2 linked regions of the Alligator mississippiensis genome follow. The protein of the gene in region 1 purifies or fractionates together with the protein of each later gene. This does not show direct contact. Links are inferred from orthologs where the notes say so. Each region holds a gene or a part of one and is shown on either strand. Other genes may lie near its edges.

Evidence for each region. The genes of interacting proteins can lie anywhere in the genome.
Region 2: the proteins of CXCR4 (region 1) and ITCH purify together in Homo sapiens (affinity purification with western blotting; 5 studies listed by BioGRID and IntAct, with this or other methods). This does not show direct contact. The link is inferred for Alligator mississippiensis from reciprocal best matches to the Homo sapiens genes CXCR4 and ITCH.

Annotation. Positions count from the first base shown.
Region 1 is NC_081827.1:237,449,890-237,457,800, forward strand, and holds the start of CXCR4 (C-X-C chemokine receptor type 4), read left to right. Parts: upstream 1-4,903; 5' UTR 4,904-4,974; coding exon 4,975-4,998; intron 4,999-6,283; coding exon 6,284-7,342; 3' UTR 7,343-7,911.
Region 2 is NC_081832.1:24,365,671-24,373,338, reverse strand, and holds the start of ITCH (E3 ubiquitin-protein ligase Itchy homolog), read left to right. Parts: upstream 1-4,666; 5' UTR 4,667-4,896; intron 4,897-7,668. Other genes in the region: AHCY (adenosylhomocysteinase), read right to left, coding at 641-831, 4,467-4,494. UniProt on the Homo sapiens protein: Acts as an Acts as an E3 ubiquitin-protein ligase which accepts ubiquitin from an E2 ubiquitin-conjugating enzyme in the form of a thioester and then directly transfers the ubiquitin to targeted substrates.

The DNA of each region.
Region 1 (7,911 bases):
AAAATAACTACTTTCCATCTTCAAAGGGCCTTCCAAACATCAAACAATTAGTCCCTACAACACTCCTCCGAGGCAGGTAAGTAAGTACTCTTACCCACATTTTACAGTTGAGTGAACACAGCAGAGAGGTTAAGTGATTTGCTTTAGGCTACAGATGGAGATGGGATTAGAGCACAAATAATATGAGTATTATTAGATTATGATTAAATAATAAGAGTATTATTATTAGGCTCATCTTTTCTGGGCAGACCATTAAGATCTTAACCCAGTGGAGGTCCAGGCAAGGAATACTTGAAGGAAACCTAAATTAATTACCATCATGCACACACCGGGCCAATTTCAGTCCTCTCAAAGGCAGGAAGCAACTAGGTGTACTCCCTTACGCCATAAATGTCATATTCTGTTGTCTTTTAAGGATGCTAAAGCTTTTACTTTAATTTGCTCCATAAGAAACAATTGAACAACACGCCTTTGCACAGTGTCATTATTATGGCACATGATACGACCCCAACTGAAACAAATGTTTTGCCTTCTCTGCATTTCCTGTTGTTTTGTTTGTTAAGCTCCCAAACAAGTAACTATAGGAAGAATTATGGGGGGCACATCTACACATGGTATTCATCCACAGTAGTTACTGCATATTAAAAAGGAGAAGTAAATTGCCCTCAGAGAAAGGGTCTAAACATGCACTGACTTGGGAGAAAATTTGCTCCTAACTGGAGCAGGTGAGATCAGGGATGTTCCTGCCCCGCTGCCCTGCTCTGCCCCCATTACAATAGCCAGCCTGTTCCTTAACACCAGATCCCTCTCCTTTGTATAAGAAACTATCCTTTCTTCCCCAAACTTCTTCCCAAACATAAACAATAATTCTGGGCAGATTTCCTGCCTTTTTTTTTAATCCAGTATGTATTTTTTCTACCTCAAAGGCTATTTTATAAAACCCTAAAATATACTGGGTTTGTATATGCTTATGTGAGTAGTTAAAAATGCATCTATAATAAATGGCATAGTAATTTAGGCAGATTAATAGTGTATGTATATGTATGGATATATACTGAAGAGAGAGGTAGTTAGCCGTGTTAGTCTCAAGTCAGGCAGAAGCAAGGGTAGATTTGCACAGTAGAGACTAACTGAATCATAGATGTATAGCATGAGTCTTTGAATTAATTAGCAAATGACAAAGTAAAGCTGGGTCTCATGGAGGCTTATGCTATACATCTCTGCTTTAGTTAGTCTATAAAGTGCAATTCTACCCTGCCTTCTGCCTATATATTAAGAAACATATGTGAAGACAGCAGTGTAGCACCTTACAAACTGAGGAGCAGTTAATTCACATAGCATGATACAGACTATTACTATTTGTGTGCATTGTGGTGGTATCTACACAGCATAAATCAGGGATTAGCACCCACGTGTACTAGGTGCCCTACCCACAGAACTGTGTAATCAGCATTTCATTAGCTGAAACTTTGCTTCCCTAAGATCACATTCAACTCCTTAAATGAGGTAACCCACACAATAATTAAATATAAATTATTTTTCTACTCTGGCTCTCTGGAAACATGCTTTATAACTAGTTTTTCAACTAAATATATCAGGAACAATTTTACTCTTCATTGACAGACATAGATATTTCTTTTTAGCAGACAAAATCCATGTTAATGATTCACAACCTGAGGACCTTGGTTGCTTGCACTATAGTTTAAGAATATGTAGGATTTCACTTCCCAAATTGCATGTTTTTATGAAACAAATGCACACTGTGTTGGGAGGGACCTGATTTCCACAGTAATTTTCTCATCAGAAAAACATTTAGTGCAATACATTAGCTTGTAAATTGCTATTTGCTTGCACTGTCTCTTGAAGATTTGTAGCTCACTCATTGAATTACATGCTTCTTTTATCACTTTGGAAATCATTAACCCTCACACTGCAGTCCCCCTTACAACAAAAGAAGTTTTCACATGCATTTTTGGTAGGGCAAAGAAAAGCAACTATAGATACAACACATCTAGATCAGTGGTTCTCAGCCCTTTTAGACTAGAGGTACCCCTCAATAGATGCAAGGCACCATTCAAAAAAATGCCAACTCCTGGTTTTCGCTGTTTTTTTTAAGAAAATAATAGAGCAATTCTTCTGTTGCAATGAACTCAGAAAGACCACAACAGGTTAGAATGTCTTCAACATTATGGATTCCTATTTGAAATGTCTATGGGTTTATCGTGCGAGTTGTTTGCCCACCTAACAGTGCTAATACTGCATGGCACCCTGTGACACCCTAGAAAGGGTATCAAGGTACGCAGCATGTCACAGCACCCTGGTTGAGAATCACTGATCTAGATTTATGCTGGATTCAGGGAGTCTGTACTCCAGTGCTATCCCATTTGGCCAATCTTCAAATATCCTACTTCAGTAGTGCTCAACCTTTTTTCCCCAGCTGGCTGGATGGGCTGGATTGCGCAGCTCTCAATCTGGCACCGGGCCCAGCATGGTGGGCACCATCCAGCAATGCAGAGGGGGATGCGGAGCAACCCAACTGCAACCCAGCCCTGCAGAGAAAGAGGACATGGCTTGGCCCCATAGGGATAAAGCGGGTGTGGCTTGCCCCCATGGAGGGAGTCATGGCCCCAATCTGGCCCTAAGGGGAAAAAGAGGTCATGGCTTGGCCCCAGGACAGGGGCAAGGGGATGTATCCCAGCTCTGCAGGAAGGGAAGTGCACATAACCTGGCATCAACCTAGCCTGTGGCTGGGAGGGGGTGTGACTCAGCCCCTGGTCCAGATGCAGGGGAAAGGGTGAGGCCTGGCTGCAACCAGCCATGCAGAGCTTGGAGTTTGGGAATTTGGTGAAGAGAGGATGTCTGTATTAATGGACACTGCTTCCCTGCCACCAAATTTCCTGCCCCATTAGGGGCCCTGCATGCCAGATGCACTGGGTTTGCAGGCTGCATCTGACCTGTGGGCCAAAGAGTGGGCACCCCTGTCCTGCATAATCTGTGCATGCTATCAGAATTCAGAACCACAGTTCCAGGAGCTAAGACATCCCTCAACCCCAACCTTCGTATATATGTCCTAGTGCAATTTAATGTCATTCATTCAATTATTTCAAGAAACCACTTCCCACTTCTCACACTGACCCTAAACCTCCGTAGTAAACTGAAATAGTAATAGCAGAGTAAACTCACTTTAATCCAGCAAAGGGAACAATAGCAGAGGTAAAATGGGCTTCAGCTCAAGTTAGCAATACAAATACATCATAAACCCACTACCAACATGCTCTAGAGCAGTGGGGGTCAATCTTTTTGCATACCACAAACTAGCACCATAACCTCCCCAAAAGCCACTCCAATCTCCCTCCTTTGCCCAATGTGCTGCTCTGCTTTTCGCTCCATACTCTGTTCTCCCCACCCAGTCTCCTGGTCTACTTTCTGTTTCCCACCTGTACTCCCTGCCTGATCTCCGCCTTTACCTTCTGCTTCCTGCTCTACCTGCTGTTGTGCTGCCTGTCTCCTCCCACATCTGTTCCCTACCACACAAAGAAGCTGCCCATCTGCTGCCTACCACTTGTGCCGCAGGCTAGCCACCACTGCTTTAGAGTCTGTAATCCCACATCTGCATTGCTGTTGTTGTTCTTGCTATCTACATTCAATCTAGTACATATATGACAATCCACACATGCCTACACCCTCATTTTTCTGTGTAGACAAACCATACATCTCTAATACATCCAGTATGCCTTTCCTATTAACTAGTACACTGGCCCTCAAACTTCTGTACCTAGTCTTAAAATCTGTGATACCCCTAAGGTTTTTTTCAGCTTGTCTGCAAGTCTGTTGGTCATAGTTTCAGCCCCAGGAGAGGCAGCAAAACATACTGTAGATGTACCAGGTATGCAGCTGGAGTCCACACCTGACCTTCTCTGTCTTTCCCAGAACACATTCTCCATCAAAACACACCTGTTAACATCCTAACTTCTGGCAACTCAGAGCCAGATTTTCCATAGAGCTCCAGTACTGAGGCACCCAAATGAAATGGCAACTTTTTGGTGGCTTGTGCTGAACTTTTCATTCAATCTGGCCCACAGTCAATGCTTTCAACTTTGAACCAGGAGTAGGAGCTGCTCCAAAGGTGCCCGGCCAGTGGGAAGCCTTTGTATCAGTGGTGTAGAGGGTGCACAGGGGTGCATGTGCACCCCAAGAGTGCTGGTGCACCCCGACAGCCAGCGTACCCCGCTTAGGTGATAGGCGGGGGGGGGGGCAGTGTCCCCCTAAGCACGCTGGTGAGGGGGTGGGGGCTCCAGGAAAAGCGCCCCTGGCACTTGTTGTGATCAGCCATTGGGGGGACCCCCCCTAGTTGCCGACTGGATGCGGGGGGGCAAGTGCCCCTCCCAACTCAGGAGGCACCAGTCGCCCATGCTTTGTATTTAGAGGTTTTAATCACACAGCTGCACTGGCGATGGAAATGTGAACACCGATCACAGATGCTGCTTTTCTGTTTTCCCTTTCCTTTCCTTCCCTTGCCGTCTGCCTGCCTGCCTGCCCCTCTCAGCCCACGAGCTGCTCAGTCATCATCCCGCCCTGTGCCGCCGCAGAGTCCCGAGCGCAGGCCGGCTCCACGGCCGACAAGCACGGGACCTCGCGGAGGAGAGACCCCGGCGGAGAAGGGGCAGCGCGCTGCTCACTCATGTCCCCTCTCTCTCGCTCGGGGTGTCCGGGCCGCTCCCCAGCCAGCAGGTGCCCCCGGCCCCGCGCGGGCCGGCCCAACCCAGCCCAGCCCAGCCGGGCTCAATTCAATCGCGCGCCCTTCACTTTGCAATGGGCTGCCATCCCCGGGACGGGCACGGCCCCACCCAGCGCGGGGCGGCGGGGCAGGGCAGGGCCGGCCCCGCGGGGAGGAGCCAGGCGGGCCGGGTGCGGCGGAGACGATAAGAGCCGGGGCGGCGCGGGGCGTGCTCCGCAGGACGCTGGGGCGGCAGCATGGAGCTGGACGGGCTGGACGGGGTGAGCGCGGCGCTGGGCAAGGGGCCACGTGTGAGCGGGCGGGCGGGCGGGCGGGCGGGCTGCAGCCCCGGCGGGGAGGCGCGGGCAAGGCAGGGCAGGAGCCCGGCTCCCGGCGGGGAGGAGACGGCGCGGGTGCCAACGGGGCTCAGCCCGGCCCCGGCAGATGCTGCCCGGAGGTGAACCCCCACTCCCTCCCCCACAACATGCATGCAGGCGCTGCCCGGAGCAGGGGCGGCACGTGGCCGGAGCCCGGGGGCGAGGCGGGAGTTTCACGCCGGGAGTCCGGAGCGTTGGTGATTTCCCGCCGCGCTGCTTTCGCTACCCGTTTGCACGGGACGCTTCTGCCCGGCTCCCCCGGGCTCCTATGCTGCTAGGCAGGGATCCCCTCCTCCTCCTCCTGCCCGGGATTCCCCTCCTCCCTGCCGGGCTCCCAGCACTACAGATGCAGCCCGCAGCGGGCACAAGCGGGTTTGCTCCCCGTACTTCTGCACCTAATGAGCAAGCGAAACCACTGCCTGGACTGGCATCCTTGGGAAAGTGGTAGGAGATGGTCTAGGCGGACACATCTCAGTGGGGCAGGCAGGAGACTTGACTCTCGTTAGAACAGTGGCATGTAAGGGGTGAAAACGTAAAACAGATGCTGCTTTGGGGCGTGCCGGGAAGCTGCAAGCGGGGGTGATGTTTGGGAACCTCTGGATTTCATAGATTTCATAGAGGTCAGGGCTGGAAGGGACCTCGGAAGATCATCGAGTCCAGCCCCCTGCCCCAGGGGCAGGAAGTCAGTTAGGGTCAAAGGATAAAACTGGGACCTACTGGACTTGGGCGATCCAGTAGGTCTCTCCCGTTTCTCACGGGGGAGGGCCCACTGTCAGCACTGAACGGTAGAGCAGAGGTTCTCAGACTGTGGTCTGTGGCCGCTGGTCCGCAAGGTCCGTTCAGGTGGTCCGCACAAAGGTTGTGGGACGATTGAGAATATCTTTGCTTGTAAGGTATTAAAATAGGAGTTGTGTGCTTTGATTTGTAGAACAAAAAAAAGTTTTAAGTGGTCCGCCGAGACCCTCAGCAATTTTTTCTGTGAAAAAAAAAAAGTTTGAGAACCACTGCTCTATAGAATGACATGGTGGGGAAATGCAGTTATCCTTCATCACCATCACTGTTTCCCAGGCACTTAATTCATTCTTCTATCCCCCTAGGGGTCAAAGCTTTACTTGGCTTCTCTGTATTGTGAAGTGTCTTGGATGAGCTGGAGCTAACAGCTGTTCTTTTTTTACTTTTATTATTGCAGTGGTCTTCTGGGGTCTCCTTTGAATTCCCTGATAATGGCACCGATGAGGTTGGTTCAGGTGAACTTGACCTTAAAGAGCCATGCTATTGGCAAGAAAATGCTGATTTCAACCGGATCTTTTTGCCAACCATCTACTCCATCATCTTCCTGACGGGAATCATTGGCAATGGATTGGTTATCGTTGTCATGGGCTACCAGAAGAAAATGAGAAGCATGACCGACAAGTACAGGTTGCACCTGTCAGTGGCCGACCTCCTGTTTGTCATCACGTTGCCATTCTGGTCTGTGGATGCAGCCATAGGCTGGTACTTCGGGAAGTTCCTTTGCAAGGCCATACATGTCATTTACACAGTCAACCTCTACAGCAGTGTCCTGATTTTGGCCTTTATAAGCTTAGATCGTTACCTGGCTATAGTCCATGCTACCAATAGCCAAAGACCAAGAAAGCTGCTCGCTGAAAAAGTAGTATATATAGGTGTGTGGCTTCCAGCTCTGCTTTTGACAGTGCCTGATCTAATCTTTGCCAAAACTACTGAAGTAGGAGAAAAGTACCTTTGTGACCGCATATACCCTCATGACAACTGGCTGATTTCTTTCAGATTTCAACATATCTTGGTAGGACTTGTTCTGCCTGGTCTAATAATCCTGATTTGCTACTGTATTATCATTTCTAAGCTGTCACACTCAAAAGGTCACCAAAAGCGCAAAGCATTGAAGACTACTGTCATTCTCATCCTTGCTTTCTTTGCTTGCTGGCTCCCTTACTACATTGGCATCAGCATTGACACCTTCATCTTGCTAGGGGTCTTCAGACCACGGTGCAGTTTTGAGACAATGGTGACCAAATGGATCTCCATTACAGAAGCCCTAGCATTTTTCCACTGTTGCTTGAATCCAATTCTTTATGCCTTCCTGGGTGCCAAATTCAAAACATCAGCGCAGAATGCTTTGACATCAGTTAGCAGAGGATCGAGCCTAAAAATCCTTTCAAAAGGCAAACGTGCAGGACATTCTTCTGTTTCTACAGAATCAGAGTCTTCAAGTTTCCATTCCAGCTAACGCTGTCTCATTGCCAACATTTTACAATAAAGAACAATTTTTTTTTAAAGAAGATACACAAGATTTCTGAAAAAACAAGACTGACTATAATGTACAGATTTATATACAGCTGGAGTTTTATATTGTTTCTTTTAGCTTCTGTGAATTTAATTGACTTATTTATATAAACGCTTCCATAATTATGACAAAGTGTCTAGGCAGGACCTGTGGACAAGTGGTTAGTTCACAAAGTTTCAGTGCTTTTTCTGGTTGTATAGGTATGTGAACTAAACACTTCTAGGAGTGTAGCAAGTGACATGTTTAAAATGTATAAAAATGTTTGATTGTTTGTATGTACATATTTTTGAGTTTTGCTGTTTAAAAATTCCTAAACTTGTGATTGATGTTCCAGAATTTTTCCCTTTACTGTAAGTTGTTTGGTTTACAATAGTTTAATTCTGCTGTAGACAGTGGCACTTATAACCAAAGCCTTCTTTGTCATATGCTAGATATTTTTTTTCAGTTCTCAATATTGGTTTGGTTTGCACAACTCTGTTGTGTAAGGTTGTTAATAAAAACATATGATACAA
Region 2 (7,668 bases), on another chromosome or scaffold:
CATTTTTCAGGTGGAAAATGGAGCTGTGGATAAGTCATTTGACCTCTCTAAGGTCACATGAGAAATTCCACCCTTGTTTCTAGAGTCACCACCCTGTTTTTCCTATAATGTTTTCAGACACAGCTTGAAGTCTAGAGTCCATACTCAGATTTAGTAATTGCTTTGCTGACTTTTGAGGGACCTGGAATGATGTTTAATCCATGCTATTCTGTTTTGGAGCCATTCACTTGAGGTTAAGTGATACCAGCAGACTGATACTACTACTGCATGTCAGTGCATAAAGCCATTCGGCAAGGAGCAACCTTTAGCATTATTCTTGAAGCTGATAAGATATCAGCTCATATGGCAAAAAAGGGTTACCGAGACCATGAGCACCTCCTCCTGGCAGAAACAAGCACCTACAGATCATATGGCAAAAAAAGGGTTACCAAGACCATGAGCACCTCCTCCTGGCAGAAACAAGCACCTAGATCAGAATGCAGCCTGTTCAAATCCTGTATTTCACTCAGTGCACTTATGGATTCTGAATGGACAGCTCCAGTATCCAAAAGGAAACAGAAGATGCAACCCATATGTCGGCAACTAGCATTCTAATCTCTTCATAAGGGTGTGCAATCATTTGCTGAAGATAGCGCTTTACCTCTGCTCCCAGCACCACAAGGGTCTCTATCAGAACTGCAGTCTGCACAGTCATGTGAAGGCAACCTGCAATCCGAGCTCCTTTCAATGGTTTCGATGCTCCATACATCTCCCGCATCTTCATCAGCCCTGGCATCTCATTCTCCGCAATCTCGATGGCCTTGCGACCCCATTCTGCTAGGCTGATGTCAGCTGCAAGCAGAAGCAGGACAGGTGGTTTGGACTTGAGTACATGAAACCATGCATACATTTTAGCTTGGCATTTGCTACGACTGCTGTGAAACAAATTAGGCTGGACACCATGCAACAGCTGGGAGAAACAAAATGTCTTCAGCTCATGAAGGGTTTCTATTTTTTCCCCCATTGCATTATGAAGAATTCTATTAAGTTTTGAAGCCAGCATTTCCAAATGCAGGTACAGAAAGCAACAAATATCCCATCTAGGGACAAACTGAAAGTGGCCCAATTTTTAGAAGTACCGAGCTCTTTTTAACTTACAAAATTAACCTTAGGGCAGTAGTTCTTCCCATTCTGAACTCAAGGCACCCTTCATCAGACTTGAGGCACCCCTCCATAACTTCTGTGAAAGGACTGACACCCAATTTCAAAAAACTAATTTATACATGACAGTACTTACTTCCTTGCACAGGGAACAGGTAGTAGGGGTGGGGGAAATCAGGAGGTAGGGACAAGCCTGAGCCTCATCTCCTCTCATCTTGTAACACTGAAAGGATCTAGTGCAGAGGCAGGCAAAATATGGCCTACCAGGTGATTTCATTCAGCCCACAGGCACCCACCAATTAATTGTACCCTACCTATGCTGCATGCTTTGCTCCTACCCTCATGTGCTGGAGGGCCCTGGCCAGCATACACAGCTTCTAGGTGGGACCACTGCTACAGTTTCCAGGGGACCTGCCCAGCTTCCCCAGCCTCCTCCTCCTGTCCTGGCAATAGCACTTGCTCTGGGCACTAGGTAGGAAAGCTGTAGCTGGGCAGAAATGTGAAGCATGTGGCTGGAACTGGTGGGAACATAGAGACTAGGCCCCACCTGCACCCAGCAGGAGTGTGGAGTTTGGGTAGGCAGGATGTGGCTGTATGGGGCTTGTGAGGAATGAGGGAAGGGTGTGGGACGTGAGCCCCCACATATGCCCTTCCCTCCCCACATGGTGCACAACCCCCGCAACAGCAACACATGCCAGGTTCTGGAGGCATGGCAACCAGGCAGCACGCAGCTCCAGCCAGTTCTAGGAGCTGTACATAGTGTCAAGGAACAGAGACAGGCCAACCTGCCTCTATCACGCAGGGCTCACATGCAGCTCCCAGGACTGGTGCACCACTGGGGGAGGAAGCCCCACACGATGGAGCTGGTTGCCTTCTCCACTCCCTGCCAACATATACAGCTTACTGGACTCTGCTGGGAAGCAGGAAGTGTGGCTCCTTGCCACTTCTGGCAGAGTCCCATAAGCTCCACTTGGCAGCAGGGAGCACAGAAGACCTCTGGTTCCATCATGCAGGGTTTCCTTGTGGTGGCACCAGTCCTGGGAGCTGCATGCAAGCCCCACAAGATAGAAACAGGCTGGCCTGACTGCTCCTTTCTGCTATGTAGAGCTCCTGGAACTGACTGGAGTCATGCATCGCCTGGCAGTCACCCCTCCATGGGCTACAAGTACCCCAAGGGTCTGCCACCTGCTGCTGCTACCATTGCCAGCAAGGGCTGCGCCACATTGGGGAGGGAGAGGAAAGAAGGGGCACACACCCTGCCCACCCCCCCCCCAACCTTCCCATATATACATACCCCTCCACCCAAAGTAATTTTTCACCCCAATCTAATGGCACCCCAGAATGCCACAGCACTCTGGTTAAGAGTCACTACTTTAGGCCTTACAATTTATAAATGCAACTGAAATGTGAAACTCATTCCCACCAGATATAGTGGAAGCCGATGGTTCAGCCAGATTCAAAAAAGGGATTGGACACATTCTTGGAGTAAAGAGGCAACAGTTGCTATTGCGCAGGGCAGTTATGGATATAGACTCTGAATTGGAACTTCCTAGACCTTAAATGCTAGAGTCTGCAAGTGGGAAAGAAGTAGAAAAAAAATCCTGGTCGTACCCCATTCACTCTCCTTTTCAGCACCCACTCTGCTGCTGCATGAGACAGGATACTGTGCAAGATGGATCTATAGTCTGACCCAGTAAATAGCAATTCTTATGCCTACATCTATCACTGTGCATGCAGGTTTATTTTCGGAACGTAAGGACTTCTGAGTGCCTCATCACATATACATAGAATATGCTGGCACAGTCTATAAAACAACTTCACAAATTAAAAACAACCCAGTCTTTGCCTATCAGTTGCCGTGAATGATTCCCCCCAGCCAAACAAAAGTCTAACTTTAATCCAGAAGATCATTTCCTAAGTCCTGTAACTAAAAAGATTACTAATTTACTGCTTGTTAACAAAAAAATCCTTTAGTTGAAAAAGTAGTAAAAGCTGAGGTCAAGAGTTCCAAAATCCAAAGTTCTACAGGAGGAGGATACACTTTTCATAATGGACTTGTTTCCAGCCTTGCCTATGGAGACCACTTTCTCCATGACAGGCAGATTAACCCATCTTTTACATTAGCCCAACCCATTATTTTACATTATTTCTATGCCATAATGTCGCTTGCCACTTTGTAAGACAGTTATTCTCCTGAGAAGCCACTTATGTTAGGCTCTTCAGGAGCTCTGTACATCCCTCCCTGGGCTTGAATAACTTAAACTGCAACACCAGTGACTTTGCAACGCATTCTGTTAAGGCTAGTCAATAAATATGATGTGGAATCACAGGCTGTAATGGCAATTACAGTCAAACAGTCTGATCACAAGACAGAAAACATTTCCGACCTATAAGATCCCAATAATTCCTAAACCAAGCCCACCCCTTTGGTGTCAGCAATAGCTTGTACATAATAGGCCTTCATTGGCTTGTATACATCATGGTGCCAGCAGGTCTGGGAGAGGCCACATCAAACATACCATGACCACCAACACCCTCCAGAGCTAAAAGTTTGTCAGTGAGGCCTGTTCAGGTTTATCCCCCAAAGTCGCTTCCAGGCCTGTCACAGACTGATGGTTCAAAAACAGGCACAACAGGATGAGCTCAGTGGCAATCCTCTAGGTTTGGATTGCACCTGTAGCCATCAGCGAGTCAAGCATGCCGGCTGTCCTCCTAGCTGGCACCTGCCACTGTTTGGGGCCATTGCTGCAGGAAGGATGAAAGCAACTAAGGAGAACTGAGCCCTGGAGGTTAACATTGTCTAGGGCTTATTTAAATAGGACCAGCAGTGGGATGTGGAGCAGAAAGGAAGGTCTTGGGGCTACTTCGGGCTGCTCATGTAACGGGTGGAAGCAGTCTATAGGAGCAGCTTGGATGTGTCCTAACGGAGGGACCCAAGTAGTTTCCTACAGATATCTCCTCCCGCTTCCTGGGGTTGAAGTAAAGCAGCGCTCGTAGCAGCTAGGGGAGGGGACGCTCTCCGCAAAGCCGTGCAGGGACTGTACAAAAAACAGCACCGGGACAGAAGCCGGCCCCGTGCGCCCAAGGGAGTAGGCCAGGCCAGCCCTGCTCTGCTCTGCTCCCCGCGGAGCTACAGACCCTGCACCCGCCCGGCCCGGCCGCGTGAGGAGCCCGCAACTGAGGCCGGGGGGAGGCGCCGGGCTCCTGCAGGGGGAGGCGGAGCCGCTGCCCCGGGCAGGTTGCCCAGCCCCGCGCAGAGCCGGGTCCGGCTCCCCACGTGGCGGCCGCGCTGCAGGCCCTACCGGGCGCAGCGAGAACCCACTCACCGACTTTGTAGGGCAGCTTGTCGGACATGCCGGGGCCGGGATCCGGAACCGCGGGCTGCGGGCGCTGGGCGGGCTGCGCGAGCTCGTGCGCGCGCCGGGTCAAGGGCTGAGGGAGGTGCTGGCGCCAAAGCCGGCTTTAAATAGGCTCCGTTCCGCAGCCCGCCGCAGCCAATGCCCGCGTGGGGCGGGGCTGAGCCGGGCCGGCCGTGGGGAGCGGAGCGGAGCAGAGCAGAGCATGCGGGCAGGCCTGGCGCGGGGCCTTTGCCCGCTCCGGGCCCTCGCCCGCTCGCACTGGCGGCAGCTGAGCGATCAGGCCATGTCCGTAGGCCCTGGCCTTCCTCCTGCCCCTACTCCTGCCACGTGCCCGAGCCCTCGGGTCAGGGGAGCCGCGCGGGCGCTTCTGGGCCCCGTGGCTGGAGCGGGGCCCGAGGTGAGGTGCAGCCACGCGCCCGCGGAGGGGCCCGCGCGGACGAGCGGCGCCGAGGGGGGGAGCCGCAGGGACGCGGACGAGCCGCGCTGCCCCTTCAGCCTGCGGCCCCTTGCGGGAAGTGCCCGCTCTCGGCTCGTGCTGGGCTTTGGACTGGGAAAGATGCTGGGGCGGGTCTTCTGGGGAAGACGGGGGTGTGGGGAGCCCGGGCGACGGGCTTCTCTGCTGGGAGTCTCGGGTCACCTTGGGAATCCTGTCGGGCTGTGGCTATCGTGGAAGGCAGGGTAGATGTGGACCTGCAGACCAACGGAAGTGTGTGTGTGTGTGTCTCCTCTGCAGTCCCTCCATCAGCTCACTGTTGGGTCTTGAGGTGCCTTGAGCCCAATCCTAGAGCTAGGATCCATCTTCAAAAGCTTGCAGGTCTTTCTATGGGGGAGATTAGGCTATAGGCTGGGATTCCTCTTCCTTTCCTTCCTCTGCTCTCTCTTTGCTTCAAGGGCAAGATGCTTTATCTCAAAGCAGGTTGTCAGCAGAAGCTTTGGTGAGCTAAATCTACTTTGTTGGATGCTGACACCTCATGAAGTGAACTTCAGTTCACAAAAGCTTCTGCTAGCTAGCTATACATATATGTGTGTGTGTATATAGTTTGCTTAGTCTAAGGTGCAACCCTACTCTGCCTCCCACTTGACTTCAGACTGACACAGGTAACTATAGGCATGTCACATTTTACGTGGGGGTTACGTTCTAAAGGCAGCACAAAAGGCGAAAATCGTGTATAGTGAAATCGCGTTACCGTGCCAGCGGTGACTGCCTCTGCTTCCAAAACCTCCTGCTGCCGCCACAGAGCTGTGCTTAGAGCTGTAGGGCCAGCGGCAGTGGCGCAGCGCAGGGTGGTGGTGGGGATGGCTGCGTGCTACCCGGCCACCACCACACCTGGCGGCCGGCCCACAGCTCCGGGCACAGCAGGAGGTTTTGGAGGCAGAGGCAGTCACCACTGGCAGCGTGGCAGTGGCTGGGCCTCCAGGTAAGCGGCAGCTCTGTAAGGGGGTAAGCACTGTTATAAATATTTTTTTGAAATGATGTACCACTCAATTCACAAAAGGCACCATGATGTAGACAAAAGTTATGGAGGGGTACCTCAAGTCCAAGGAGGCATGCCTTGACTCTAAACAGGTTGAGAACCACTATTTTAGGGCAGTGATTCTCAGCCTTTTTTGTACCAGGCCCCATTTGTAAACATCAATGGCCAGTCCTAACCCAGTGCCCCTCACTGCTGACCTGCTGCCCCCAGGCCCCAGCCCTCCATACATCCACCCCTTTCCCCACACATTGGAGACATGGGGAGCCCCAAGCAGCCCCAAGAATCCCTTGAGACTGGAACTCTGCCAGCCTGCAAGGGAAAAGCCACGGTTTTCCATGTTTTTCTCCATTAAAAGAGAATCCATTTTTGAAGTTTGTTGATCCATTTTTAAAGTTTGTCCACAGCCCTTATATATATTCTTGCAACCCACTTGTTGAGAAATCCTGCTTTAGAGGGTCACAATCTAGGGAATCAGGAATAGATGAGGTCCAGGCCAGAGTCAAGACTCAGGGGAAGCAGAAGCAGGCAGATGAGGGCTTGAAGTCTGCAAAGGGACCAAGGTTAAGCCACTAATAAGGGGCTTATAGGGGGCATAGTTAAGATCAGGAAGCCAGGATCCAGACTGGTGTTACTAGCCAAGGAGTACAGAGTAGAGAACTGCAATTGTAAGGGACCGGAATGTGAGCGTGCAGGTAACTTGAGGCCATCTAGGGGGAATTGCTCCACTTGGGTAACAAGGGCCAGATAGGAGCTAATTAATTTGCCCCTGATACTAGGGTTTACACTGGCATAGCTACATTTGGTTAAAAAATCATTCCTCTACCTGGCATATCAATAGTGAAATCTCTTTTTAAATGTTGACTAGGCCTAAGGAATGCATATTATAAAATTCCTACAGCCTCTGTGTTGTACAGTAGTACAACAAGCAATGTTTTGCTCTTTTCAGAACTTCTTCCTCAGAAAAGGAAGAACAAAGACCTTTTCCATACAGCCCTTCATTTTATTAGTCTGTGTAACTAGTTAATCTGTTACACATTTATACCATGCTCTGTACTTTGCTGGATCACCCATGCAGATCAAGAGAGCCATATTTCGAAGGTCAGACCCTCACAGTGTTAGTCCTGAAAATGGGATGTTCAGGTGAAACTGCACATTGAGCAATTGCTAATGGCTGATCTCAAGGCAGATTAAATCACTGTTTCTGTTCTGAACTTTAGACTTAGTTGTTGTGTATTTTTAGCTTGTTAGCTAGTTAAATGAATGCAATTGCTTGAGAAGGTGAAGAGACAGTCAAGCCAGACTAGATCATTGGCCTTTCTGACCTAGTCTCCTGCCCATAGCCAGAACCAATGCCTGCAGCTTCTAAGGAAGGCAAAGATCCTCATAATAAATCAGAATGTTTAGGCAATAACGTTCATATTTACATTGGTTTTTCTCTTTTCCACTATGTGAAATAAGTTCCTCAGAAGCAGCACATGTAAAACTGGGAGAATAGCTCATAGCTGATATTTTGAGATTAGTTTGACCTCGTATTGTTTGGGAATTAGCTGCAGGCAGAGGATTCTTTCATCAGATGTTATGCAAAAGTTTTTCGTTGTGTTGACTAATCTAAAAAAAAAAGTAGTGAAGGAGTAGGTCAAGCTGTCCTTGATATTCTGTGATAAATCCTATTAAGTCATATAGTCCTGTTGCAT